Linked DNA regions of Caenorhabditis elegans. The protein of the gene in region 4 purifies or fractionates together with the protein of the main gene of each other region. This does not show direct contact. Each region holds a gene or a part of one and is shown on either strand. Other genes may lie near its edges. The genes, in order: zig-12, B0222.5, exc-4 and drr-2.

The links.
Region 1: the proteins of drr-2 (region 4) and zig-12 fractionate together in Caenorhabditis elegans (co-fractionation; one large-scale study listed by BioGRID). This does not show direct contact.
Region 2: the proteins of drr-2 (region 4) and B0222.5 fractionate together in Caenorhabditis elegans (co-fractionation; one large-scale study listed by BioGRID). This does not show direct contact.
Region 3: the proteins of drr-2 (region 4) and exc-4 fractionate together in Caenorhabditis elegans (co-fractionation; one large-scale study listed by BioGRID). This does not show direct contact.

What each region holds. Positions count from the first base shown.
Region 1 is NC_003284.9:8,760,981-8,768,024, forward strand, and holds zig-12 (Ig-like domain-containing protein), read left to right. Parts: upstream 1-2,926; 5' UTR 2,927-2,928; coding exon 2,929-2,994; intron 2,995-3,040; coding exon 3,041-3,175; intron 3,176-3,956; coding exon 3,957-4,047; intron 4,048-4,094; coding exon 4,095-4,207; intron 4,208-4,352; exon of another isoform or gene 4,353-4,498; intron 4,499-4,881; coding exon 4,882-5,070; 3' UTR 5,071-5,300; downstream 5,301-7,044. Other genes in the region: M02D8.5 (CUB_2 domain-containing protein), read right to left, coding at 445-572.
Region 2 is NC_003283.11:9,150,749-9,157,792, reverse strand, and holds B0222.5 (BPTI/Kunitz inhibitor domain-containing protein), read left to right. Parts: upstream 1-2,920; 5' UTR 2,921-2,923; coding exon 2,924-3,003; intron 3,004-3,243; coding exon 3,244-3,302; intron 3,303-3,346; coding exon 3,347-3,463; intron 3,464-3,521; coding exon 3,522-3,605; intron 3,606-3,647; coding exon 3,648-3,779; intron 3,780-3,824; coding exon 3,825-3,970; intron 3,971-4,019; coding exon 4,020-4,131; intron 4,132-4,353; coding exon 4,354-4,446; intron 4,447-4,733; coding exon 4,734-4,847; intron 4,848-4,890; coding exon 4,891-5,063; 3' UTR 5,064-5,472; downstream 5,473-7,044. Other genes in the region: B0222.15 (Activin_recp domain-containing protein), read left to right, coding at 1,057-1,144, 1,198-1,258, 1,317-1,377, 2,038-2,178.
Region 3 is NC_003279.8:14,511,783-14,521,741, forward strand, and holds the start of exc-4 (Chloride intracellular channel exc-4), read right to left. Parts: upstream 6,938-9,959; 5' UTR 6,934-6,937; coding exon 6,553-6,933; intron 4,836-6,552; coding exon 4,701-4,835; intron 3,405-4,700; coding exon 3,177-3,404; intron 1,010-3,176; coding exon 881-1,009; 3' UTR 1-880. UniProt on the Caenorhabditis elegans protein: May insert into membranes and form chloride ion channels. Involved in the formation of the excretory canal. Required to prevent cystic lumenal expansions in the excretory cell.
Region 4 is NC_003281.10:13,640,461-13,646,097, forward strand, and holds drr-2 (RRM domain-containing protein), read right to left. Parts: upstream 3,111-5,637; 5' UTR 3,079-3,110; coding exon 3,058-3,078; intron 3,007-3,057; coding exon 2,923-3,006; intron 2,880-2,922; coding exon 2,681-2,879; intron 2,625-2,680; coding exon 2,305-2,624; 3' UTR 1,960-2,304; downstream 1-1,959. Other genes in the region: acbp-5 (Acyl-CoA-binding domain-containing protein 6), read right to left, coding at 1-109, 222-383, 768-976, 1,030-1,228; T12D8.10 (BolA family protein), read right to left, coding at 1,368-1,503, 1,658-1,755, 1,805-1,867; set-16 (PHD-type domain-containing protein), read left to right, coding at 3,521-3,526, 3,579-3,680, 3,736-3,812, 3,875-4,315, 5,333-5,637.

The DNA.
Region 1 (7,044 bases), on a different chromosome or scaffold from region 4:
TAATCCACAAGTACCGATACTTTTTTATACGTTTTTGAAATATGACCTCTCAAGTTCATTTCGTTCGATGAAAACCATCCGGATCCCCAGGGTTTTGAATTACAAGTTCAGAGAAAATTGTTGTAGACCGTTTTGTTATTCCCCCTGTGAAAAATGTGCTTTGCACTTTACCAACAATCACTCATCAATAACCTAATCACTGGCATCGAACGTGACAAAGTCTCTCCGCAGGAATGTATTTTCAATCGAGACTGCACACCACTATTATCACAAAACGAATAGCTGCTGACTAGAGAAACGGATATCAGTTCCGAAAAATATCTCATCAATTTATGATAATTGATGGACTTTCGCAAAAATGTTTGGTCTATCAAGTTCATGTGGCGGAGGTAGAGGTGTTTTTTGTGTAACTAAGTAATAAGATCTTGTGTTGAAAATACTTACTCTGATAATTGTCCAGTGTATGGTTGTGGAAAATTAGGTGTGGAAAACAAGATACCATCTTGAAAAGCAACTGAGGTCCGGAAAAAAATGATGAAAAATAAAGGAATCAAATTTAGTTTTGTATACATTTGTGTTGCCAGCCAACCACGAACAGTTAAAAAATGACAGTACTGATAGGAAAACCGCACATCGTGTTGATTGAAAATGTTTCTATGCTCACAAACTTTTAACGATTTTTCTCTTTGTTACATTGTTATATTTACTGATGTTTTTTTTTGAATAAGAATTATATTTTTAATTGAATTGTTTAAATTGAATTTTTTGCTCACATTGAAGATAACAAACAATACTTAAATTTCGAAGTTTATTTGAAATTCCATCATTAATTTTTATGATTTTCTGCTTCAGATCTCAAATTCGATGTAGTTTAACGTTGAAACAAAAAATGAAGGATGAGAAAGTGTAAGCCATTAGAAATCCAGATGTCTCAGACGAGTGCGTCATCCAATTATTTTCCAATGGTACCTTTGAAGTGTTGAAGATATGGGAAAAATGAGATCGGCTTCTACCCAGTGACTGGAAGCAACTTAAACAAAGTGCAATCTACAAAATTTCGATCTGAAATTGAAGAAAGAAAAATAAAGCAAACCACAACAAAGTGATTCTTTTCTCTATCTTTTGTATCTCTTGCTCCTACAAAATATTTTTCATGCGAAAATATTTGAATTACACACTTGAAAAATAATTTGAGAAAGGTATTCCCTGACGTACCGAAGTTTCAAATTACACACACTCTCGGCATCTTTATACAATATCACTCTTACTCTTTGAACTCTCTGAAACATAATATTTGATCTTTTGATACATGATTTTCAGATTGAATGTGGAGTTCCACTGCTGAATTACAATATGGAAAACTTACAAGGTGTTGGATAGAAAAAAGTAAGAATGAAAACAGTTTGGTTCATATAAGTTTATTATAAAATAATTTGTTTTTAACTGAAAAATTGTCAGCTTATGTTTTTACCATTTTTGGGATTCATCTCATTTTGAGACCTAGAAAGGCAATATATTTTAATTTTTAACGCGACTGGGGCATTTAAGTGTCCTATATCGTTTTCCACATTGCTCTATTCGGCCAAGTCTGGTAGCTTATTCTCTGGTTTCTTTCTAAATAGGAAATTATGCAGCTTATTGTAAGATGAGGCCAATCAACTAAATTGTTCTTTGACCCAATGCTAAACCTACATAGTTGAATTGCAATGTGGTCATAAAGAACCGCGAAGAATTGACATTATGAACGTACAATGCAGATATCATCAATGAAACCATGCACAATGCGCACGCCGCGATTTGCAAAAATGTGCACATCATGATCGTCCTATTGTGACAGGTCTATAAATCCATTGCTTTCGAGTTGCTCAGTTTCAAAGTGGCATTTTCATTTAACAACTTTTGAAATCCTTAATACTCATACAACAACCAGCGACGTCATTTCCATCCGTTCCCAAATTGCTCATTGATTCCGATTTCAAAATACTCTCAAATATCCTTTGTGAAGCGTGTCTCGTCAACTTTGCCTTCGCCCTGCAGCTCTTCATTGAGAACTTTGTAAAAATTTTGGGATCTTCAACGTCGACGAGAAATGAAGAGTTAGGTGGGAAGTGCCATCCCATCCACCTTTCTCCTCCTCCGCAAAATCTGTGGGCAGCTCCGGGGGGCTCCCGGGACATTCATCTTTCCCATCTTTTTTCGTCGTTTCGTTCTCCGACTAGCGACCAGGAGGCGGAGAAAGAGCTTAGCAGCAGAAGAAGTAGAAATTACAACACCTTCGTGAAACAGAGAAAAAGATAAAGGGAAAATGGGACTCTAACAGCGACCTCTTGGCACTTTTGTCAGTTGGAAACTACAAGCGAGACATCATTTTTCTCCTCTTCATATTTTTTGTTCTCCTCTCAAATTTGTTTTTTTTAAATTTATTCTTGAGTGCTGATCTCAATGCACAAAAAACATGACTAAAATCAACTGTTATATGTACAAAAAACCAGTGATTCAATTTTCGAAGCATTTTTCAACCTTCAACCATTGGTCTTTTTGCCTTTTTCTTTTTTTTCTCAGCATTATAAAGTGTTTTCCCTCAAAATACTGTTGACACATCTTGTCTAGATCTTCTCCAACATTCCCCTACTTGTGCTTGTTCATTGAGAACATAAAACATTGTTTGCTTAGTTCTCCCACCCAAAAGCCACTACGAACTACCGTTCAAGAAGTCTTTCGTCTCCTATTTTCCTGTGAACTCAATGGATAAATGATGGTAAAAACACATTGGCAGATCATTTTTCATTCGCTCTTGGCGGCGCTCTTACCTGATCAGAAAACACGCCCCTCTTTTCTTTTAGTGTGTAAAACTTTAGGTTACCGAGATTCCGTATATTCATGGCTTCGTATTCAATCATAAAACTACAGATTTTAATTTTTTCAGATATGGCACCACCATCAATTTACGGAGAACCAAAAATTAGATCAGAGAACGGGTCGGTGTTCCTTGAGGTACGAATTTGCTTTTCCTTTTGAAAATTGCTAAGTTTTCTTCCAGGTCATCGTCACTGGAGCTGATGTTTCTAAGATTCAGTGGTTTTTCGGACCAGACGAGCTTGAGGAGAACGAGTTCCTGAAGTTCTCAAACAGTGACGAAGGAGGCAACCGCACCAAGTTTGTTGCCGAAATCAAGGTCAGTTTGAGAGCAACTGTTTGCCAAAGCATCTCGTATAAATCACATAAAACGACTCACGAGTCATTTTATGGTCCCATTGCTGCGATGCGCTCTGCAACTGTTGTCTGTATGTGTTTTGATCTGCGTTTAATTGGTTTTTGATGGACTTACCGTAGATTTTGGGCAAAAGTGCGGCAAAAGCAGAATTAGCTGTCGGTCGGGAGGTGAAAAGCAAAACATAACAACGGTTAAGCATTTGATCAAAAGGAAACTCTAAGTACATTCATCATTACAAAATACTTTTTACTTTACTATATTCTTTATTTTTTTCGTATCTCACATTAAATATACATCAATAACGTGAACTGTAATTTTGAAAATTCAGTAAACATTAAAAAAAGCCGTGCAGTTTGAACTTCACATTAGGAACTATAATTGTAAAAGTTACTAATGATAGTAGTAGTTGAAAAACAAACCACATAAGCTACATTACTGGTAAAACGGAAAAGCAACTGAAAAACTGTCCAACGGTCCAAAATGCCGCAGACTGAAAAAAAAAACTGATGTCCGCCGGTGGTCTGTCTCCATGTCAGCCAATAAGCCGATTGTCGACCGCCCCGGTCGCAAATTTCGTTTTTCTAAGCTTAAAAAAAAACTCCGAACACAAAAACGATTTTATCAGCTGCCATTGGGCCGCTTCTGAGCAATCCCGCTTTACCTGTGATAAAAAATAATCGGAATTATGAATTTTAACTGTTAACAAAACACCTTTTTGCTTCTTTAAATCATCATTTTATAGGACTTTGATAAACCACTTGCCGGAGAATACAAAGCCGTCTTTGCCAACGCCGATGGAGAGAACAGCTCTAACTTCACAGTCGCAGCAGGAAGTGAGCTCATTATCAAAAACACTAAAAGCTTACACATACAATTTCAGACGCCCCAGACTTCCATGACAAGCCACATATTGTTCAAAGAGATAACGGAAATGTGATTGTGATTAAGGTCCGCGCAAAGTCCCACCTTGAGATGAAGGCCGAATGGTTCAAGGTATGTCTGTCACCTTACTTTGAATCTTAGGGGAAAAAATTTCCCTGAATTCTTATTCGGTATTTTTCTTGGCATTGCTAAATTCATTTTGGTTGAACCAGAATAGAGCTTCTCGAAGATGGATCGACTGACTGACGTGTCTTTTTTCTTTTGTCTTCTTTCTTCCACCGAAGAAAAAAATGTAGTTGTCCTAATTTCCACATTTATGTTAGTCGAAGTGAACCTCTCCGGCTTTCTCAAGGGGATTCAAAATAGAAAGGCAGAGATGGGTAATGTAAAGAAGTGTGGAAATAAGACAAAAGTTGGGAGGCCTCCTCGTCCGCGCCTTTGGGTTGTGCCGAGACAGATACTTGAGGCTCATGGAGCAGATAGAGCGAAGTTTTGAGTAGTGAACAAAAAAGAGAAATGGCGCAAAAAACTAAAAGCAAAAAGGTTCAATAAACATTAAAAGAATTCACTTGTTGTCTGGTTCAAAATGTAAAATGAAAAATGAAAAATGAACATTTCAATGGGCATGCTTGGAACCAAGTTTGAGTTTTTTTGGAATGCTTTGATAAATAAAATTAACAAACTTGTTTTGGAAAAAATTTTCTGAACGACCGTCTAGTATAAATCATTTTTAAATTAACAGAAAAAAAGTAAATTTCATATTTTTCACTAATTCATTCTTCCAGGATGAAAAACCAGTGAAATTCACTGACCGAGTTAAGGCTGTTGTAAAGAAGGACGATAAGGACAAAGACGGATTCCAATTCCTACTCGAAATCACCGGACCACAAAAAGACGATGAAGCAAAATACAAGTGCGTTGTCAAGAACTCCGAAGGACAAAACCAACAAGCGTTGAACTTGGTTTTCGATTAATTTTATAAATTTTCCCTTGGTTTTTAATTGTCATACAATTCAATTCATAAAGCCTCAAATCAATTTTCATGTTAATCGTTGCTTCTGATTTTCGATTTTGGTAGTTGCACTTTCCGCTTTTTTTTCTTCTGTAACTTTTAACGTTTTGTAGTATTTGTCTTCTCAAAGTAATTTGAACTTTGTGTCCCATGCACATGAATTGGTATCAGCCAAAATAAAAAAGTTTCTTGACACATTGAACATGAGAAGATATACTTGCAAGTACAGAAATCAATATATATATATACAGTGCTGGCCAAAAAGATATCCACTTTCAGTTTTTTGACGATTTCGATATTTTTTCCAATGGGCATAACTTCAAAACTAGGAAAGGTACCAAAAAATTTTCAACTGGTAAAATGTAGCTCGTGATCAGGCCTATGTATTTTTACATGTTGCAATTATTCATCCATCACATGGCAAGTAATAAAGCGGCGGGCATCTCGTGAGTCCGTTTTTGACGATGATTACTAAAACGACTGTAACTCAAGAAACATATTTTTAATGAAAGGTTTGAGAAAGTAACAAAATGTTTATTTAATTTTTCATTGTTTGAACATATCAACTTTGTCCTAAAACCTCCATTTAAAAAAATGTGTGCGCTGAAACTAGTGTCTCATTAGACACTGTTTAGAGGCTTTGTTCAAAAATCAGGTTTCTTGGATTGAAAATCTTTTTCCGACAATTTTTGTGAAGAACTGATGTTGTTATTATATTTGAACTACATATTAACCAATAAACAGAATTCAGAAAAAAAAATCTACTATTTTTGAGACATGAGCTCGAGATTACTCTACACTTCTCTTCTTTAAACTCTCTTGTCTTTTTCAATGGAGGTTTCAGGACGAAGTTAGTATGTTCAAACAATAAAAAATTATATAAACATCGTGTTACTTTCTAAAAACCTTCCATTAAAAATATGTTTCTCGAGTTACAGTCGTTTTAGTAATCATCATCAAAAGCGGACTCACGAGATGTCGGCCGCTTTATCACTTGCCATGTTTTGGGTGAATAATTTAATCATGTAAAAATACATAGGCCTGATCACGAGCTACATTTTACCAGTTGAAACTTTTTTTGATAGCTTTCCTAGTTTTGGAGTTATGCTCAATGGAAAAAATATCGAAATCATCAAAAAACAGAAAGTGGATATCTTTTTGGCCAGCACTGTATATACGTGTCTTTGCTGTAATTCAGTGATGCAGATAGTAGATAGTGCTTTATCATTTTAGTTTTTCAACAATTTTTGTAAACTCTAGTGTTTATCTAACAAAATAAAACCATAGAACAAAATAATATTGAAAATCATCCAACGGGCAAAAGTTTACCTAGTCCAATTTAGACTACTTCAGTTGAAACAACATTTTTGCTATCACTTTGAGAATGCCGCTTTTGAATCTGCAATCTACGTGTGCAAATTTTAATATCTAATTTTATATCAAGTTGAAAACAATCTAATAAGACATAACCCCGAAAATCAAAAAAAAATTGGTAACCGGCTGCCTGTTTTGAATTGAAAATTATTTGATTTTACGGCGAACGGTTCAACATAGATTACACAGTAAAAAATAATTTCAAAATATATATAATTTACTTTAGTAAGACATTATTGTTTTGCGGTTAAATGACCTGTTAAACATTTTAAGGTAAAAAGAGTGTTATATTTTTCCCTCAGCATGCCAAACTTATGTAACAATTTGAAGAGTTATCTTAATAAATTGAAATTTTTCAAAAATTGTAAATTTATTTACAAAAAAAATAATTTTTCTTAATTTTGAACCAAAGCCCTCACTGCTATTTCAAACTTCGCTGATATATGCGTTAACCCACAACCCAAAAAAAGAAAACCGACTTCTTGACCTCAAACAACTATTCCGAATTCAACTGCAATATTGAGAGGCAAAAGAAAACAACAAGTCCCAAAACCAGTTTCAG
Region 2 (7,044 bases), on a different chromosome or scaffold from region 4:
TATGCAACATTTCAAAGGTTCATTCATCCTTCTCACAGAAAACTTTTCTCATTTTTCCCCAGCACATATTCTTCTTCTTTGAACCAAGCAAGTTCTATCCAATTAGAGGAATCATTTGCATATTGCTCAAGAGAACCTGGAATATGAGACGCAGACTGAAAAGAAAAAGGCGGAGAACGGAAGGCACTTCATAGTGTTTTGGCACCACGTTTAAGAGCCTCGGAGCTTCACCCACAGGAGCCATTGGAAAATATCAAAACAAAACATCTTTAACCCCTGGGTGCTTCACTCATTTTTTGGTTGCAATTTCTAACCTCTTTTTTTTCTCTTTTTACAAAACCGGGAGGCTCGTTTTTTAATCCATTATTCACATTGTTTTCAGTTCAATGAATTCATCACAGAGTACAATCCAGAAAGAAAAAGAGAAAAAAGAAGACGAGGAGGTGTTGGAATTCTTTTTTTTTCTATTTCTGGGTTTTTTGTTTCGAGTTTGAAACTGCAAATATTTTGAACAAGTTTTAAACCTATTTTTCTGCATCTATTCGTTTCAACTTTAATTTTTTACAAACATTTGCTCATAACTCCTTCATATCCGACTATCATACATTTGATTAAGAGTTTCTAAGAAAAGAAAAAAATTAAGAAAAAAAAAAAGTAAAAACTAGTATCCTAGGAAACTTTGACAGCATGTCAATATTATAGGCGGACAAAATTCTCAAAATGAATTCTATATGTGATATTGCAAGGGGTTTTGAAAATTCAAATTAGAAACATTTATAAAGTGAAGAGACCTGAATAAAGCAGGTTTTCAAATTACAAAATATCCGCATCATAAAAACCATACAGTTCAAACAAATTGCCAACAACTAACCAAAACTTGAACCAATTCCTTCACACTAATGGAATTAGTGTTTGTTCTTATTTTGTTTGATCTAAAACTATATTTACTTATTCCTTTTAAATTCAACTCTTCATCTCAAACTCTGTGGAAATGACACTCCTAAAAAGTTAAATTTCAGTTGAACTCCGTATTAAACCAAGTGAACGGAAACAATTATGAGCGTGCACCCTGTCATTATCTGTCTTTTCATTTTCTTTTTCATTTTGCCGCCTTCTGCAGATACTACTGTGAAGTGTTTTAAAGGTACGTTGAATGAGCAGAAGAGCATTTCGTGTGCGTGACGAGTGATTCTTTAGGGTTCTCGGGAGATGGAAGGCCGTTCAAACAACGTCTTTGTCAGACAGAATATTGCATAAAGTGGGTTGAAAGAAGAAAAAGAAAAGGCAGCAAGTTTATTGGAATTTTCATTTTGCAGAACGACAGAGCCAACTGGCGGAGCTACTTACGGATGTGATGACTTTACGCCGTTTTGCAAAGTGAGCGAACAAAACGAGTTTGAAATTGAAAGAACAAATGTGCAAAGTGAAAATCAGAAAAAAAATTGTCGAAAAGATTGAATGTGGCGCAGCCCTGGTGTAGATTTTCTGGAAATTAATTATAAAAACCATACTCATTGAAAGAGCAATGTCAACTTTAACAGAAAACAAATACTAGAAGCGGACAAAACCCATATGTAGCGGACAAAGCCCAATGCTACATACTGTAACTATGGAAAAATAACGGAATACACTTTCGCTTGTAGAAAATGAGTGGGGTCAATGCCGGTTTTATCTAAATGTATGTATTGTCAATTTGCCAAAAAATGACCAACAGTGAATAAAAATCACAATAAGGATTATTTAAACTTAAATTTAAAAACAGCGTATTTTTCTATCGTCTGACACTTAACAATGGTTCCGGTCTTTGAAAAAAATATTAGAAAAATACATTCCTATATGTTATACTTGAAGCTCGATTCCCGTATTGTTTCTCAAAAGTATAATTTATGATTCTTAGTGATAGAAATTCATTCTAGAACGTTTTGTTGTTTTCTTATTCTAAAAACTCGTGAGTAACGTTTTCTTCCAGTGATTTCCATAGAAACTTCTAGACTTTTCTATTCTTTTAATCTTTTCTCAATGTTTTCTTTTTTTCAGAAAGACGAATGCGTGGTCACTTCGAAACAAAGTAAAGTCTGTTGCTGTAATACTGATCTGTGTAACTCTTCTCCAATCACTTTCTGGCCTGTGTCTCTACTATTCTTCATTTTATTTTCTTATTTTATGTCTAGTTATTAGTTTGAACTTTATTTATTTAAAAAAATATTCCGACAAAAACGGGTTATTTTCTGATGATTCACTTCTTTTCCCGAATAAATGTTTTTTCAACTAAAGGTAATTCTGTTAGTCAAACCAAATTTATTGGTGTAAAAACGAATCCAAAGAGAATAAGAGAATGTACCAGTTTTATCGATTGATCATTGCATTCTAGTAGTTGACATAATATGATAAAAAGGAAGTAAACCTTTTTTTTCGTTTTTCGTCGAACAAAGATTCGTTCAGCAATTGATTCCTTTTCTTGTTCTCAACTAGCACTGATACTGCTTAGTTTTTTCTTTTGAAAAAAGATACTGTTTCAATTTTTAATCTTTCTTGATTTTTTGAATCTTCGGAGAGAAGAAAGAATATAACTTGGCTTTCATATCCTAAGAAAATTATTTTTTTCTCGAATTTTTCCTTTATTTGAAATATTTTTGTTAATGTTTCCAAATATTTGTGAACACTTTTTGATTCACCTATTTCATATGCACAGAATTTATGTACATAAAAATAACTTACATAAAATTTCATCGGCGAGTGATGAAAATAACCAAAAGCCAGTAATTCCCAAATACAATAGATCACTCAATGATCAACTCATAGCTCTTACTATTTTTTGTTCTCGAAAATCAAATAATGTTTGTTTCACTAACTAGTTATTATTTACCTTCATTCATTTCCTCGTTTCAATCATTCCTTCGAACGCAATTTTTTGATTTCCGGCATGCGAGCTTTCTGCATAATATTACTTGTTGGATTCACCCAAGTCAATGCTCTGTTTGGAGACAGATTATTACGAGCCAGGTTAGTTCTTTGGAACAAAAATTGTTAGGCACAATTTATGAAAAACCAATTTTGAAATAATTAGAACCCTAGTAAGTGAAAATATTTTTCAACAGTTCGGTGTCCACTATTAAAAAAATAACAGTTTTGTTTAAGAATTTTATATTAATAAAGTGTTGAAGCAACTGGTGGAAATTTTAATTTTTCAACATTACTTTGCTTATTTCAAATTTATTATAAAAATGTAATATTTTATTACAGAAACCCAAAAACTGGACCATGCACGTTGAATGATGATGGACTAAAATGCAATGAAAATGGTGATTCTAAACTTTAAATTATATTAATTTATTCATAATTTTAGGATACTATGAAACTGTACAATGTAACTCTGAATCATGTTATTGTGTTACTCCTCACACTGCACTTGTTGCATACGACACACGAACCAACAATCCGAAAACCGCGCCAAAATGTGGAAGTAAGTAGAGACCATTCAATTTCCTAAGTTTTCCCAAAAGTGACGTTTATCGTTTCAGCTTGCCTTGTTTACCTCCAAAAGCTGTTTGCCGACGGAGATCCTCCAGAAAATAGTTTCGTACCAAAATGTGACGTCGGAAAAGGTATGAAAAAATAATGCTAAAGATAAAATATAAGTATTTAAGGTGATTTTGAGCCTGTACAATGTGACAGTAAGAAGAACCAATGCTACTGCGTGGACACAAATACTGGAAGAGAAATACAAGGGACACGAAAACCATTGAGTAACACAACAAAGATGAATTGCATGCAAATTGGTAGTTCAAAATCATGAATAATTTAAAATAATTCGATAATTTCAGATTTCTCCATCGATTCGTCAGCATTCCCCGCTTTTGAAAAACCAGATCCTGCCAAACCGAAAAATGATCAACCGATTGGAAAACCATGGTGTGCAAGTAACAGAAATGCTGGACATACATGCAATCAAAATAAAACTTCGATAAGAGTAAGTTGATTTTAAACCTAATAAAAAATCGGGCAAATATTTTTTTTAGTACTGGTTTGACGTTGAAACCTTCCAATGTTTCCCATTCGAACACAAAGGCTGTGGTGGAAATCAGAACTCCTATAGAACAAGTAGTGAATGCTATTTTGACTGTGTCTTGCGTAAGTTATCCACGTATTGTTTTCATGAATATAAGTGACGTTCACCAAGGAAAATGATCACAAGTAGGCCTATGGTACCAAAAATTGTAAAATGTTTCATACATTTTTGACCCAAAAGTTTGAAAACTCTGAGCCCCTCATTGACGTATTCAATTTTTAACTCAAAAATTCAATTTTTAACTCAAAAATCAAATACGATAATTGAATGCAGTTTTATTTCAGAAGACTACTTCAGTTGTGCAATGCAATCACAACCAGCTAGAAAGTCGAATGGACAATGGTATTCTTGCCCAGAAGGCCCAGATGGTCCACCAGGTATGTTTTGAGATTGATGGTTTTTTAATAAAACTTTCGAACTTTCTACTGCATAAATAATATTTGAAAATTAGCTACAAATTTTTGTGGTGAAAAACGAAACTTACAATTCCGGTTTATAAAATGTTATTTTTTATTTCATTTAAAGGATCCTGTTTTTCGGATCTGAGCTGTTTAAACGTTAGAAATACAATGTTTTAAAAACGAGTATTAGTTAGTTTAAAACTTTATTAAAGTAATAATGAACATTAAAAAAACTAACTGAAATATTGCTTCATATTTTTCAGGCTTCAAGACTACTACAACTCCAGGCCCAAAACTAACCTCTGATGGTTGTCCAAAGGGATATATTTGTTCTATGGGAGCATTCTTTGGTATTTGCTGCGAGGAGAACTTGACAAGTAAGTAATCATATTAGCGACAACCAAAACACAAAGTTTCCAGATCGCTACCAAGCAGCATTCAAACCATTATGCAAAAACAAGAAAGAAGCTTTGCAAACGAAACAGGACGATTGGTCGAGTGCAATGCTCGGAAAATCATGTTCCGATAGATTCTGTCCAAGCAGTCATACTTGTGAACATAACGAGTTTTTTGCATATTGTTGTCCGCGTTAATATGTGTGTTTTGACGTTTGTTTTCTTGCCCATTCGAACCGCCCTTCAATTCACATTCTAATTCAGGTTGTAATAAATAAGAAAAAGTATTTGTAGTTCTTTTGTTTTTCACAATGATATGTAATGTATATTAAACGACCTTTCATCTCTTCTGTCCTTTTCTTCTGTGTTGGTTTTCCACCCAGACAAATTGCCGGCCCCCTACTTTAAACGTGTCTTCTCATAGCATTGATTATTGATGCCTATGTGATATCAATATCTTTTATATTCATTTTCCCTCCTAAAAGAAATATGTTCAGAAAACTGCACCGAAACAAAGTCTTCGACCATACTAGATACTTGTTGATTTCTGATAGTGTCCTGTTCACCCCATAAAAATGTGTTAAATGCAGCAAGCAACAAAGTATATTTGTGATTGAAATTTGATGCGAATAGAATTTAAAAATAGAGTGATCACAGTTCTAGCAGAAAACGAATTTTCACAAATGAATCGGAATGATGACTTGGTCTATTTGAATTCGCTCAATGTCTCCGCAGACATGATGTGTACCCAAAAATGACTTGATTGATGATTTCACAAATGTTCCAGTTTAGTTTCGTGCTTTATGTGGAATATGCTACAAAACGCTAAAATACGATAATCGAAGGCTTCAAAACTAAACTGCGGTGGACTTTTCTAGCTCGAAATATGCAACTGAAACAGTTGTTGGGCTATTCTTTGCTCAAGAAAAAATTATTACGGCACAACAACTGTAATTTTTTTTTCTAGAAAAAAATTCATTTGAAAAATGGACGCTGATGAAAAAGTTATTAAATGAGCCGCGTAACTACATTGAAAAAATGTTAAACGTATTTTCAGAAATTGTTTTGTTAAATTGTAGAAAGAAGAATAATCAAAAATAAAACTCATAGTCAGGTAACTTTTTTTTGAATATTTTAAAGCAGAAAACGAAGGATCTCGTTTAAACTTATCAAGATTGTTTTTTGATGTCTTAGTTCAGTGTAGTTCTCTAAATAAAACAAGAAATATAGGTTTATCCGTATGTTTGCAGAAAATTAGTTCAACAGATCAAATGTTCATATTAACGTGACTTTTAAAAACATGAAAGACGGATCAGTTCAAAGTACGTTTCCGAAGTGAACACATGGAGATATTCAAAGTACATGCTGATCAAAAGAGCTTGAAATTAAAATTCGAAAATGTTCAATTGCCCTATATGCAAATTGAGAAAAACGTGCAAGTGGGGATCTTGTTAAAGATTTTGTTGTCTTAAACTTCCAGTCAAAATTTTGGCGGATTGCCAAATTTTTAAACAATACAATCTTTTAAGAAAATAAAAAGCAATGTCACATGTTCCACTCCTAGAATTTTTTACACGAATAAAAACAAAATTATAAAATTCGTAAATCGTAGAAATAATTTCTTTTGGTCTATTTCCAAAATTATTAATGAAAAAAATTGGTAATTGTCACTTTTTGACAGTAACTAAAAATTTTCCAACAATAATTTTGAAGGTAATTTTGAAACCATAGCAGTAGTTTCATATACTTTCCTCACTTGTGCTGCTCCTCCTTTAAAATGATACAGTCTACAAATCGAAGAGACTTCGAAAAATCGATAAAAGTTCGAGCAAAAACTATTAAAAACATTTCGATTTGAACCATAATTTAAAAAAAAATCCAGAACAAGATATAAACTATCAAAATTGAGAAATGAAGTGCAGAATAGAGATTACGGCGTTTTTAATAGGCCCGATGTTCAACGATTAAGACTTGGTGTATAGCTTATATATTAACATGCAGTACTAAGTTTCAATCGGTAAATTTGCTTTATTGTGTGATAGGATCGTATATTTTTCTATTTTCAAAAGCTTAAAACTAAATTTTTAATTTTAATAAGTTGGTAGTAAATCGTGAGCAAAAAAAAAGAAAAAAGAAAATTGGTCCCAGTCTACAAACGTTGCTGAAAAATTAGAAAAAA
Region 3 (9,959 bases), on a different chromosome or scaffold from region 4:
TCTTTAAATGACAGATTTTTCGGATTTTTTTTGTTGAAAAAAGTTGGAAAAATTGGAAATTTTGTGAAAAATTTTGGGAAATTCTGGAAATTTAATACATTTCACGTTTTTTTTTGCAAAAAAATTGGAAAATTTTCTGATTTTTCAGATAGAAACGTTGGAAATACTTTGATTATTCCAGTATTTTTGCAAAAAAAAAAATGAAATTTTCAGATATTGCCGGTATTTTTTGGAAAAATCTGGAAATTTTCTGATTTTTTCCGTTTTTTTCCCGAAAAAATTGGAAATTTTGTAATTTTTTTTCGGTTTTAACAGCGAAAATCTGCAAATTTTCTGTTTTATTTCAGAATTTTCAACGAAAATCTGAAATAATCGCTTTTTCTCGTATTTTTTGAAAAAAGTCGGTTTTTTAAAGCGAAAATCTGGATAATGTCTGATTTTTTGAAAAAAAAATCGGAAATTTCCGAATATTCCCGCACTTTTTTTGTTTTGAAAAAATGGAAATTTTCCCAATTTTCGAAGAATTATTTCAATATTTTTTGCGAAAATCTGGAAATTTTAGGCGTTTTTCTGAGAAAACTCGGTTTTTGAATTTTTTTTGCTGATTTTTATGTGAAAATGTGGGAAAAATATATAAAAAGAATAGCCAAAAAAATTGAACAAATTTGCCATTTTTTTAATAGATTTTCATCACATAAAAATCAGCTCCAATTTTTCCAAAATTTTTTGATTTTCTCTTTACAAGAAAAATTCAAAATTCCGGTTTTTTGTGTCAATTCGACGAAAAAATTACCAAAATATGCAATTTTTAGCCGAAATTTTTTTAAATTTTCGTTGAGAAATCTGTCACTTAAAGAGCAAATAGTAGAGGGAATTTAATTTAATGAACATTAACATCGGGAGCAAGTCCTTTAACACGAATATCCGATAGCACTTTTTCCGGAATTGTGTGCGTTTTTGTTGGCGATTGGAGGGTTTCACGTTGATTTGTGAACAGATTCATTTGTTCCTGCAAATTCAGAGAATTTTGGGGTTTAAAAATCACATAAATTGGGAAACGACTACAAACTAGAGTTTTGTTAGCCGCACCAAACTTTTGTTGATTTCGCTGTAAAATTGAAAAATTTACACCAAACATTTTTCAAAAAAATTAATTATCATAGAAGCAAGCGCTCTCCTCAAAGCCGAATAATTATTAGAGCGCGCTTGCAGACCAGGAAAATTAAAATTTTTCGATTTTCTCTTTAAAAAATACCAAATTTCGGCTTAAAAATTGCTAGAATCGTCAATTTTGCTTATTTATTTAGCCTGAAACGAGTTAAAAAAAATAGCACAATTTAAGGAATTTTCGAGGAAAATAGTACTTCTCACGATCTCCTCAAAGCCGATTAATTATTAGAGCGCGCTTGCAGCGCCTCGCGTTTCTGCATCCGGGGTATTTTGTCTTTCCACTGAAAAAATCAGTTTTTTTTTCAGATTTATCGAATTTTTAGCTTTTAAAAATTTTTTCCTGCATTTTTCGAACAAACCGTTTTGTTAAACAGTAAAAATCGAATTTAAAATGACTAAAAGGAACTTTTCTCGTCCACGGGTTGAGAAATGGTTTGAATTTGAAGAAATCAGCGGGATTTTTCGTATTTTCTGAATATTTTCCTATTAAAAATCGGTTGCAAACCATTTTTTGACCCTAACGTTAAGTCACAAATGTTGAATCCAATTTTTAATAGAAAAATATTTAGAAAATAAGAAAAATCCCGCTGATTTCTTCAAATTCAAACCATTTCACAACCAGTGGACGAAAAAAGTTCATTTTAGTCATTCTAAATTCGATTTTCACTGTTAAACAAAACGGTTTGTTCGAAAAATGCAGGAAAAAATTTTTAAAAGCTAAAAATTCGATAAATCTGAAAAAAAAGCTGCTTTTTTCAGTGGAAAGGCAAAATACCCCGGATGCAGAAACGCGAGGCGCTGCAAGCGCGCTCTAATAATTAATCGGCTTTGAGGAGATCGTGAGAAGTACTATTTTCCTCGAAAATTCCTTAAATCGTGCTATTTTTTTAAACTCGTTTCAGGCTAAATAAATAAGCAAAATTGACGATCCTAGCAATTTTTAAGCCGAAATTTGGTTTTTTTTTTGGTCAAAATCGAAAGTGGAAACACTAACAATTTCCAGATTTTCGCTAAAAATATTGAAATAATCAGAAATGTTCCAAATTTTGTTCGAAAAATGGAAGAATTTCCGGGAAAAATCGGGAAAAATTTTTTTTTCGATTTTTTTTTAGATTTTCAATGAAAAAATCGAAAATTCAAGTGCACTATTTCTCCAAAGCGTGAAAAAGTACTAGTTTACACAATTTTTGTCATTTTTCATATAAATTTGGCGTTTAAAACCTCAAAAATGGTGCATTTTTAGTCGCGCCTGTCTCGGTTTTCTCTCAAAAAACCCAACACTGGGGTCAAATTTGCTCAAAAAGTGCAATTTCTGTTGTTTCTATGAAATAAGGCGTGAGCTGTAATAAAAATATTGAATTCTGCATGTTTTGTTGGTTTTTTTAAACAAAAAAAAATTGTTCCTCGGCACCCCTGATTCTGGCTAACAAATCTGTAGTTTGTAGTGTCGAGTCTTCGTAGTTTGTAGCTTCATCCTCACTTTATAGTCATGAATAATGTCCTGATCGGCCGAAATTTGGATTTTTTTCAAGAGAAAATCGAAAATTTTGAATTGTTGCAAGCAAAAAAAAAAAAACATCCTTTTCTGGTCTTTTTGCTATTTCTAAAGACTTTTTCTACACTTTCACATAAAAATTAGCATATTTTTTGAGAAATCAATAGTTTTCTCGTTTTTTTAAAAAAGATTTTCAATGAAAAAGTCGAAATTATTCCCCAAAGCCACAATTTTTGTCATTTTTCATATAAATCAAACTGGAGATATATTATTTAAATAAATTGAATTTTTCCGAAATCTTCTGAACTAAAACCTTTTGGCCATTTTTTCTTTTTCAGAATAATAATTCGTATGTTTTTTCTTATTAAAATATAGACAAAATTAGAATAAAAATTGTATGTTTCATGGCTAATTCGAATTTTTTTTTGGTTGGTTTTTTCAACAAAAAACATTGTTCCTCGGCACCCCTGATTCCGGCTAACAAATCTGTAGTTTGCAGCTTCATCCTCACTTTATAGTGATGAATAATGTCCTGATCGGCGGGACAACTCTCAATAAATGCTGCTGTACGGTATGCAGTGAGGATATAAGCCCAGAGATGAGTGAAATTATGTGGAATATCGAATCCAAGAAGTGACAATCCAATAATTCGAATATGATGAAGACGTGGCATCAGTTCACAGTCATATTCAGTCATACTGTTTCCAAGTAGATATCGAGATTTTCTCTCGGATAGCAACTGCAATAAAATGGGGGCAATTTTTGATGGAATTATGTTGACAAGATGCGATAAACAATATTTATCACAAAAAATTGGGGAAATTGGGAAATTGGGCAAAGTGCCGGTTTGCCAAATTTCCGGCAAATTTGGCAAACTTCCAGAATTGAAATTCTCAGAAAATAGGTACTTTACCGGCGAATCATCGGAAATTTGCATTGCCTAAAATTAAAATTTACGGCAAAATGGAAAATTTGTCGGAATTGAAATTTCCGGCAAATCGGCAATTTGCCGGAATACTAAATTTTTGGCAAAATGCCAGAATAGAAATTTCCAGCAAATCGGGATTTTGCCGGAAAATTGGGGAAAATGTGCAATTACCGGTTTGCTAGAAATTTCCGGCAACTTTGGCAAACCGGCAATTGCGCATATATTTTTCTGAAACTTTTTATGAATTTCAATTTCAAACGGAAAACGCATCCTATGAAGTGTTTCAGTATTATCAAAAATCTTTTTATAAAATTCCGGCAAATTGATATCCGGCAAGCAAATCGGCAGTTTGCCGGATTTTAAAATTTCCGATAGGTTGGCAATTTGCCGGAATAATAAATTTTCGGCAGTTTGCCAGAATTGAGATTTTCCGTTTTGCCGATTTGTTGGAAATTTTCTGTATCGTCAAAGTGTCGATTTGCCGGAAAATTGCCATTTTCCCGTAAATTAAAATTTCCAGAAAATAGGTACTTACCCAAAATTAAAATTTACGGCAAATCGGCAGTTTGCCGGAATTGAAAATTTCCGGCAAATTGGCACTTTGCCGGAATACTAAATTTTCGGCAATTTGCCAGAATTGAAATTTCCGGTAAATCAGTAATTTGCCGGAATTGATCATTTTCGGCAATTTACCAGAATTGAAAATTTCCGGCAAATTGGCACTTTGCCGGAATTGAAATTTTTTGTTTTGCCGATTTACCGTAATTTTTTATTTTCGGCAAAGTACCTATTTGCCGAAAATTAAAATTTCCAGAAAATAGGTACCTCACCGAAAATTGAAATTTACGGCAAAATGACAATTTGCCGGAATTCAAAATTTCCGTTTTGCCGATTTGCCGGAAATTTTCATTCTCGGCAAATAGGTAGCTTTCCTAAACTTAAAATTTCCCGGCAAAATGGCAATTTGCAGAAACTTAACATTTCCCGGCAATCGGAAACTTGCCGGACATTTTCAATTCCGGCAAAGTGCCGATTTGCCGGAAAATTTGCCGAAAATTAAAATTTTCGGCAAATGGGCAATTTCGCAGATTTCTGTGTGTATTTTACCTGATCAATATTGGATAGTTGCTCACAGACTCGATTGTAGTGAACTTTAATCTGTGCTGGAAGATCTTCAACTCTCGATGGCTCCTTTTTTCCCTTATCGAACTCTACTTTTGCTCGCAGGAACAGTTTGAAGTTCTGAAAAATGAGAGGAAATTAGACGGGGGAAAACGTCAAATTTAACTTTGTCGATTTACGCGCGTCGTGAAAAATGGATTTTTTCGAAGTTTTACCAGAAAAATTGGAATTATTTGAAGTTTTTCCGGAAAAATTAATTTTTTTTGAAGTTTTTCCGGGAAAATTGGATTTTTTTTGAAGTTTTTCCGGAAAAATTGGGAAATGTTTCTTTTTTTTTTTTAGGAAAAAACAGAATTTTCCATACTGTTAAGACAAAATTGGACCAATTTCTAAATTTTTTCATCGAAAAAAGGACATTTTTGAGATATCAAGCTGTGTGAAGCCTCGTGTACTCCCCGAGGAGAAGATTTTACGGATTTTGCTGAAAATCAATATTTTAAATCAATTTATTGCAGTTTTCATATTTTCTATGAAATTTGGTATTTTTAATCAGAAAATCGATAACTTAATGACAAAATGTTGCATTTCAGTGAGAAAACCAGAAATTTCTGAAAAAATGCAGTTTTTGGCGGAAAAGTGATTATTTTTCGGTAAAAATTCGGTATTTTCAAAAGAAAATCGAGAATTTTACGAAAATTGACGATTTTCGTGGGGAAACCCTGTTGAAAATTGATGAATTAAATATTTTTCGCGGAAATTTTCAGAGTTTTCGTTAAAAACTTGTATTTTTCGCTTTTTCTAACAAAAATTTTCAATTTTCCCGGGGAAATGATGTATTTTTGTTTCACTGAAAACACTATAAATCAGCAAAAACTGCAAAATGTTCTCCTCGTGGAGTACAAGGCATTTTTTCGCAAAAAATCCATTTTTTGATTTAAATTTTTATAGAAATGTAGAAAATGGGTTGTTCTAGTTGAAAATAACATATATTTTTGTTGAAAATCTTGAAAAAGTCATCAAAACCTTTTAACGGCACTTTTTCGGCTTTTCAAGATTTTCAACAAAGATAAATGTTATTTTCAAATAGAACAACCCGTTTTCTACATTTCTATATCAATTTTAGATTAAAAATTTATTTTTTTGCCGAAAAAGTGCCGCACAGCCCTGAAAACTGGATAATCTTTTCCACGAGGAATACACGATCCGCGTAAATCAACACATTAGGCGTTCGATTTACGCGGATCGTGTACTCCTCGTGGAAAATAAAATTCGTTCTTAATCTAAAATTGATATAGAAATATAGAAAACGGGTTGTTCTATTTGAAAATAACATTTACTTTTGTTGAAAATCTTGAAAAAGACCTCAAATAGTGCCTGAAAGTTGCCGTTTGCCGGAAAAGTGCCGTTAAAAGTTTTTAGATTAAAAAAACTGGGTTGTTTCAAAATGAAAATCACCTTTAATCGGCACTTTTTCCGGCAAACGGAACAAAAATTAATGTTATTTTCATGTGTATGTGATTAAAGGGATTTTCATTTTGAAAGAACCCAGTTTTTTTAATCTAAAAACTTTTAACGGCACTTTTCCGGCAAACGGCAACTTTCAGGCACTATTTGAGGTCTTTTTCAAGATTTTCAACAAAAGTAAATGTTATTTTCAAATAGAACAACCCGTTTTCTATATTTCTATATCAATTTTAGACTAAAAATTCATTTTTTTGACGAAAAAGTGAAAAAAAAGTGCCCCACAACCCTGAAAACTACAGAATCTTTTCCACGAGGAGTACACGATCCGCGTAAATCGACAGTTTCCGGGCTTCTTCTTCTTCCATACACTCACCCTGTACAAGTTCTCTATTCTCTTCTCAGCGGATGGATCCTTTTCAAAGAGTGGAACATTGAATTCCTTTGCCAAATGAAAGATCCGTCCTTCAATCTCTCGATTATCAGTGTATGTCAGCTCTTTTTCCTCTTCAATCATAATCGGTGGTTGTGCTCCGAGAAAGTTCTTCTTAAATGCTTCAGAATTCACGTTGACAGTCTTCACTTCGACTCGTGCAACTCCAATCTCATAAAGAGCATACAACTCCATCCAGAATTCCTGACAGAAAAGATCGGCTCCAATGCGGCGAGCATCAATTCCTGACGCTTTTACGTAGAGCTCGAGAAGAGGTTTTGATTGGGGATCTCCGTTTGATTGGATCTGGTAAGCTTCTGCCATATCTGGAATTAGCGGTGGTTGTTGGAGAGGAAAATTTGGTGAGATAACACAATAAATCCGGAAGAAACAGAAGAAAATTAGTGTATATTTTAAATATATATATATATATATACCACGGCTGGTATATATATATATATATACCAGCCGTGGACCGCACCTTCGGCGCGGCCCCCGACTTCTGGGGCTGAAAATTAATTTTTTATGAAACTACCGTAACCCTACAGTATTCCTACCGTACCACTATTGTACCACTACAGTACCCCGACTATATCCCTACACTAACCCTAACTCACTATCCCTCCAGAAGCCAAAACTTCACAGACTACAAAGACCACATAGACTACAAACTATGGACACACAGAATAAGCGCTTTATATATAGTAAATGATATATATATATATCGAATAAATGGAGAATTTTTAAATTTAGTGAGAAAATATTTACGACAATTGGTGTAAATACTGGAAATTTTAGGTAACAACATCCGTTTTTTACGAATATTTGTTAATTTTCCAATGAATGTTCAAAATTTAGATTTAATAGCTAGTTTTGGGAGTTTTCCACACCTTTTTTTGGATTTCAGCATCAGATTTTAGCATGTTTCTGGAAATTTGTTTCTGGGAATTTCTCAATGAAATTGAAGAAATTTTTTGTTTTGTTACTAGAAAATATTATACAAAGCAAGTTCGAGATAGCTTGAAAACTTTAGTTTCCAGGGGAAATTCTATTACGAGAACAGAAAATTCTGAGAATGCGTACATCGCAACATATTTGACGCGCAAAATATCTCGTAGCGAAACCTACAGTAACCCTTCAAATGACTACTGTAGCTCTGTGTGTGTGGATTTACGGGACTGACTTTCGAGACAATGATATTCAATTTTCTGTAGCTTTTTTTACTGTGTTATTTTTAAAGTGTGCTTTTAATACGCTATCAATTAATAAACGATTTCCGTAAATCGACACAAGCGCTACAGTAGTCATTTTAAGAATTACTGTAGTTTTCGCTACGAGATATTTTGCGCGTCAAATATGTTGCGATGTACGCATTCTCAGAATTTCTTGTTCCCGTAATAAAAAATGAGCCATTGTGGAATTTACTTTCAATATTTCTTACTAAAAATATATTTTAATTTCAGGTTTAAGGTTTTAGTAACAAAAATTGTAATTGTAATTGCAATGGAATGGGGGGTTTTTCAGTAATTCGCAACTTTTAGACGAGATTTGAACACTTTGAACTAAAATACAAGGTACGAGGTATTTTAGTTCTAAAGTGTGCAAAAAACTAGCTGAAAGTTGCAAATTGCGGGAAATCTCCCGATTTTCAGACAAGATGTCCTCCTAAAGCCTTTCAATTGGAATTAAAGCTATATTGAATTAGAAAACCTCATTTTCTATATTCCGTGACAAATATTTTTGGTAAAGAATATTAGAATCACGTGGAGTCACAGAAAGTCTCATTTTGCTTTGATCTTCGAAAAATGCGGGAGAAGAGACGCAGACATCTAATCTGATTTCGCATGGTTAAGTGCGTGCTGACGTCACAATTTTCTGGAAAAATATTCCCGCATTTTTCATAGATCAAACCGCAATGAGACAGTCTGACACCACGTGTAAAAGATTTAAATTGCTTCGCAAAATTTTTTAAAGTAAAATTAAGTTTTTCGGTTAGATTCTGCGATTTCTATATTTCGTGATTAGATTTTAATGAAACAACATGCCAAAATGGCTCTTTTAAAAATTATGTCGATTTACGGCTTAAGTACACATTTTTCTGATAAAAAATGCCAAAAAAATCGAAAAAAAATTATGAAATCGTCCAGAAAGTCAGCAGGTACATGGTCTCGCAACTTGTTAATTGACGAGACACCCCCCGAACGGATCGAACAGAGAGTGTAGAGACCCCAGAGAAAACCGTCCCCCAAATAAATGTCCAATTTGGAAATCCCGCAGTGTGTAGAAGTAGAAGAAGAAGAAGAGAAAGATACAAATACATCTACACTAGACACTAACATATAATACATACATACATACAATCATAAAAATTGTGGAGACGTCGGTCGGTCGGTCGGCGGGTGCTGCTGTTGGTGGTGTAATCGGAAACGAATCACACAGAAACGGTTTATGCGATGCGATTTATTCATAAAATATATATATGTGAATAGTATGCGAGATTCCGAAAACTAGATGCCGTCAGGTGAAGAGTGGCATTTCTGGAATTTCTATTGACGTGGTGAAATTGATCGATATACGTCATTTTTCAGGCAAAAACCCAGAAATCAGTTGAGAAAAGTCTGCGTCTGAATTCCCGCATTTTTTGTAGATCAAAACGTGTACACTCGAAATAATAAAACTGCGTGGCGTGTACTGCAGAAAACCTCATAATTAGCCCCCGCCTTTTTATCGTCCACTCACGGGGAAAAGACAAAATTCGGGGACCAACCAATATCAGGCCGCCGACATCTCATGGGTTCCGCGCGCCGCTATGTTTAACTCGTTGTGGGTGTGGCAAGCTGCCTCCGCCCGCTGCGAGTTAAACATAGCGGCGCGCGGAACCCATGAGATGTCGGCGGCCTGATATTGGTTGGTCCCCGAATTTTGCCTTTTCCCCGTGAGTGGACGACAAAAAGGCGGGGCCTAATTATGAGGTTTTCTGCAGTACACGCCACTCAGTTTTATTATTTTGAGTGTATGCCTCATGTTCCGAGCCGGTTTTAAGTGAGAAATCGATGGTTTTCCCCGAATTTCCAGCTTTCAAAGGAGGACTAACGGTTCGGACGATTTTGAACGTTTAGTCCCAAAATGGGCTCAATTGAACGAATTTCGTGATTAAGCTTCTCAAAAAAATCTTCAAAAATTTTTTATGACGGTTCAAAATTTCCGAAAAAAAATTAAACTAATTTTAGCTAAAATCTTGAATTTTGGCCACTTTTCACGTGTCACATCCATTCGAAGTTTAATTTTTTGGAGTTATCACCCTTTATCGCATATATTGGTAGTTTATCTCATTTAATTTCGTCGATTAA
Region 4 (5,637 bases):
GCGCTGTCTGTAGACATCCATCGACTGCATTGACATCTACATTGTTTTCAATAAGAAATTGAACAACTGGATCACATCCGAGGTCCGTAGCCCATAGGAGAGCGGTCATCTGCAATTTAGAAAAATTTTCGAAGAATGATGAAGTTTCTGTTAGGAGTGTAGCTTTTACGGTGTAAATTACAAGAAGAAAAATTAAAATCAATTTTTTTCAAATTATTTACCGCCAAATATTGATCCTTGGCCTCAATAATCTCGGGTTCATTTCTCAAAAGTGTGCGCATAGTGTCGATATCGCTCACGCGCATCGCCGCGAACCATTTCTTTTCGGTTTCGGTTTCCAGTTTCGTTGGCGGGTGCACCACAGCGTCGTCGAACATTTCTGGCTGAAAAATGATAAGAGGGGTACGGTATTTAGTAACAACTTTACGTGTTTTATTATTTCACAGACTCAACTTTAATTTTTTTTTTGAATTTTTTGCATCTTTCGTAAGTTTGCCTTGTTAAAACGGTTTCTAATCTGGTGGGAAAAGTAGGAAAAAGCTTCAAAAACCATTTAAAAAAACTACAGTAATTCGTTCCCACTCGCTGCGAGACCCCTCGTCTCGGGAGGTCGCCCTCCTTTAAGTCATTACGGTAGTTTTGATACCAAATATAGACGTAGAGGCTCAATTTTCAAGTTTTCAGTACTATTCTACATAAAAAAATTTAAAATATACATTTAAAAAAGCATGATTAAGTGGGGATTAATAATTTTTTATCCTTTTCACCTCGATAACACCCATTGTGCTGGGCATCTTCTCCCACAGTCCACTTTTCTTCACCGTCTCTGCATCCGGATCCCAAGACGTGTCAAGCTGAGCCATGAGCTCACAATACGCTTCCATAGCTCTCGACCGGCTCATCTGACTATTCGCTAGCCACGAGTTGAACTTTTTGCGCGCGACCGTTTCGAACCAGTAGGGACCTTTTTTCGAGTCTGAAATTGTGTTCTTTTAGTTTCTCAGCTTCAAAATCGTCCATTTTAAATACCTGCTGGACCTTCTACAGCCTGCTTGTAGAGTCCATAGAATTTTAATATAGTTTTCTGATCGATTTTTGTCAGAAACCCCGGCAACCTTGTCGTCGCCGCGTCGAATTTCGCCTCAAGCAGCGTATCGATGGGTTCTTCTTCTTGATTTTCATTTTTTGGATGGTCCTGGAATGAAGAGACTGCCCATGCAATAATCATCTGGAAACTTTGTGTAACTACTGATTTCAGTCGGAAACAAAGAAATATGACCTGGCCTTTTCGATTAAAAATAACCAACTTTAATTCAAAAACAAAGCGAATAATTAAATAGAATCATTCATTTAAAAAGTACAGCAAATTAGTCCACCAAATCCTGGCAACCGGCATTTTGACGGTCTTCCGTCGTCATTTGGGACCATCTTTCAGGTGTGTAGGCGCAGATGGTGAGCGCGTGAGTTTCGTCCATGATTGGAGCAAGAGCAGCTTGGACCAATCTGTAAAATTGGAATAAGTTTATATTTACATTACTTTAGTGCAATCGTTGGGAAAACCAGCTCAGCTTGACTGTGACTTCCTTTAAATTCTTCCGTTTAAATTAATTTCCACGTACGTGGATCCACCCTAAGCTTTCAGCATTTTCAGGCTTACCGGTGAGATTGCAGCGTACACTTGCCCTCAAACGCCTCAGAGACGATGAGAAGCCGAAATTTGTATCCATCGCAGCCTCCGCTCTCGTCGACGACTTTCTGGAAGAAATTTTCGGTTTTTTTAATGAACAACATCAATAAAACTCACCAAAATCTGCGGCTTGATGGCTTCTGTGAGTAGCGCATTGACTCTTTCCACTGGTGATGCCATCTGTCGATTAAAATTTAATTTAGGAACTGAAAATTGAGCAGAAACGAAAATTGGAGAAAACCACACAAAAACCAGATTTTGAAAAAAAAAGTATAAAAATATTTTTTTATTGATTATTCATATATTTCGCATGTTTTTAGTGTATTTCTATAAAGAAAAATAAAGGAATAACTAGTAAAATCAACAGAACAACAAGTAGGTGGGGGAAAATATATGCTTTTGGGACTTTTTGGGGTTTAACAACAAACAAACTTTTTATGTGAAAGGATTCTGAGGTAATTTGTGATCATTAGACATTCAGAAGGGGTTGAAGAAATGGTTATACCAGCGGAACTTGACGGAAAGTGACGAGGGGACAAATTAGGGGATAGGCTCCTATGATTGCAGGATTTCGTGTCATTCGCGGATCGAAATTCAGGGAAAAATCGAAAAAAAGTTTATTGGAAAAGCTTCTCCTGGCGTCTCTTGGTCTCCTCTTCTTCTTGCTTCTTGCGAGCCTCGATCTCAGCGGCATCTGTGGTACGGGGCTTCAGGTTGAGACGTGGACGTTCTGCTGGCGGAGCTGATGGATCTGAAGTTTCCTCGGCTTTGTGTTGTTCTTCGCTCTCGCGACGTTGTCGGTATCCACCGCGATGTCCTCCGCCGCCAAATCCGCCACGACGCTCTCCTTCGTTGAAGCGGCCACCTTCACCGCCACGCCGGAAGCCTCCTGCTCCACGACCACGTCCTCCGCGATCTCCGAAGTTTCCTCCGCGTCCTGAGCAAAATTATTGTTAAAATGAGCGGAGAAAAATAAAATAATAACTGAAATACCTCCACGACCACCTCCGCGGTCACTGCGATCGCGCTGTTGGGCACGATTAACCTTGAGTACGCGATTTCCGAAATCGGCTCCATTAAGGCCACTGATAGCAGTATTCATCTGTTGTTCATTCTCAAAAGTGACATATGCGAATCCCTTGAAACTTCCAGAATCTCTGTCGTGCACAAGATGAATATCGAACTTTTTGAGCTGAAAAAACATTTATTAGAAATTTCCTGCTTTTCCGCAGTACCTCTTCATCTGTGAACTTGCAGTGCTTTAATATAGTTTCGATGTCAGTGGCGATGGAGTCATAGGGGAGCCCACCGATGAATGCCTGTAAAATTCGATATATTTAAAATGCCATTGCTTTGAAGTACCCACTAACCTTAAAAATCTCATCGGCCATTGCTTGAAAAGCTTCCCCAAGTGAGACGTCTTCTGAAATTCATTTAAGTCTTTAAAAACGCACACACGAAAGCTCGAAAATACATATTTGCAAATCAAATTATTTATTTAATTTTTTTCCAACTCTCAGTCCGCAATCTCGCGTGGCATTCGGTGTATTGGCACAGTGCCAGAGAGACGCAGTGCGGCAGAGATGCGTAGCCGCCCCGTTAACATGGCAAGGGGCTCTACGCAGCGCGTAGAGACGCAGACATGTAACGCTTGGCAAGATGCCAAACAAATCGATACGCCCTTTTCAACAGCCGTTAGAGGAGAATGGGCGGCAGTTTGAACGATTTTTATCTCATTTTCAGTGGAATAACTCATAATAATTATTTTAGAGTCAAATTCGTATCGATTGAAGCTTCAAAAATCGAGAAAGCCGACTATATGAAGTCCAAAAGATGATTGTAAGTGTTCACCGTTCAAAATTTTAACTATACATCAAAATTAAAATTCCAGTGCATCGAATGTGGCGGTACCGCGTTCAACAACACGGAACTATGTGAAAACTGCATGGATGTTAACCGTTCTGGCACGATGTCGTTGGATATGGCCCGTCAGGTAGGAAATTTTCGATTTTCCACTATTTTTTTTTCTAAAATCAGAAAATTTGCAGTGTGACATGTCGTCCAGCTGTGGATCGTGCCAAAGAATGATAACTGCAGATTCGAGGCAGTGCACAACTTGTCGGAAGTGAGATTTTGAATTTTCAATTGTTTTTCACCGGATTAAAATACATTTTTTTTGCTTTCCAGAAGCTACCATCTCTCCTGCGACTCTTCCGACGTCTCAAGCCTGAACAATTTCGTCTGCATATCCTGTCGTCGGCGAAGCCAAATGCTGCCGGACGACGTGATGCTTTCAGCCTCCGCACGCCCTTCTCGCGGACAAGACGCACCTCTTTCTCCATTCAGCGACCCCTCAGTTCCCCAGATTTCACTACAAATGCAACCGGCACCTCTGCCGTCCAGTTATCCTAGAAGTCAGGATTTCAACGGGGATGTGTACACCCAAATAGCCGCCATGCAGCAACAACGTCAGCAGCAGCAGCAAAATCAAGTTCAGCAGATGTTGGCCACACAGGCACAGCTTATGGATGAAATTAGCGATGGTGGTGGTACGAATGACAGCGATCGGAATAGTAGTCCATTTTATCAAGAGGCTTCCGACTACGATGAGGATTTCGTGCCTGCTAGGTATGCCGTAGATTAAAATTCCGTGAAATACGAAAATTCGTTTGAAAATCGAATTAAAGCCTTAAAGGAACACCGTAATACCTTGAAGGAAAGGATGCCCCACTAAAAGGGGAGCAGAACGAAAAGGGGAGCTGGCACTGTGCCAAACGCACAAAACGCCTTTTTCTCATTCAACGCACGTTGATTTTTGAAATTTTCTTATAGAAGATACGCTTAACAACACACGTAACATCGGAGCATCGTTGTATCGTTTCCTTCGAGAAAAATAGCGTTTGGCACAGTGCCAGATCCCCTTTTCGTTGCTCTCCTTTTCATATCTCTCCTTTTCGTTTTGCTCCCCTTTTCGTGGGGCCTCCTCAAGGGAAGCACACTTTTACTTGGGTCTCGCCACGACGAGAAATATATTACTGTAAATTTCAAATTTTCGCTGGTGTTCTTTGTTTTTTGGGTCACAAATATAGTTTTCTGGTAGTTTGGCACAAATAATTTTTTAAAAAGTAGTTTTTAACCTAGTAAATTAGAAAAATTCTGAACTTCAGAAAAATTTATCGATACATACCGTATTTCTCTTATTAGTATGACCTCCGTATCAGACTTGCACTCCCTATTAGTGTTGCACTTCATACCCCCTCTGAAAATTAGTATTGCACTCCCCAATAGTCTTGCATATACTTTTGTCCTGCAAATTGGCCTCACTAATTTTAAGATTTCAACTATATTTTATGTTTATTTTGCAATAATTTTTGACAAAGTTCTATGAAATTGGAATTATTGAACCTTTTTTATTGCAATTACAATCAAATTTTCTAAATTTCCAAATAAAATTGGAATTCTTTCATGTAAAAACTAGAAAGTCCCAACTCAGAAAAATGTTCTGAAAATTAGTATGGCACTTCCTAATAGTATTGCAAGCGGGGAGACCTTCGAAAAATATTGCAGCCATATTAATAGAAGAAATAAGGTATTTATAAAAACACTTTTGTTAAATTAAACTTTTGGAAAATTAATATTTTCCAGCACTCGCGGACGTGGACGTGGTGGAGGCGCCAAGAAAAAACCAGGCCGCGGAGGATCCACTGGTACTCGTCGACAAACGAATCCCGGCCCGTCGGGCTTCTTTTCCGCCACACAGCTTCAGGCGATGAGTGGTGATTTCTCCCACCTTCACCAACCGCAACAAACATCATCGACACGTGGAAAGAGGGGAAAACGAGGAAACGGCACGTCGGTGCCACGTCAGCCTGGCAAGGGACCGGGTCGTGGACGTGGCCGTGGGCGCGGTAGTGCAGCCGCCATTGCTCAGCTCGCCCAGCTTCAACAGG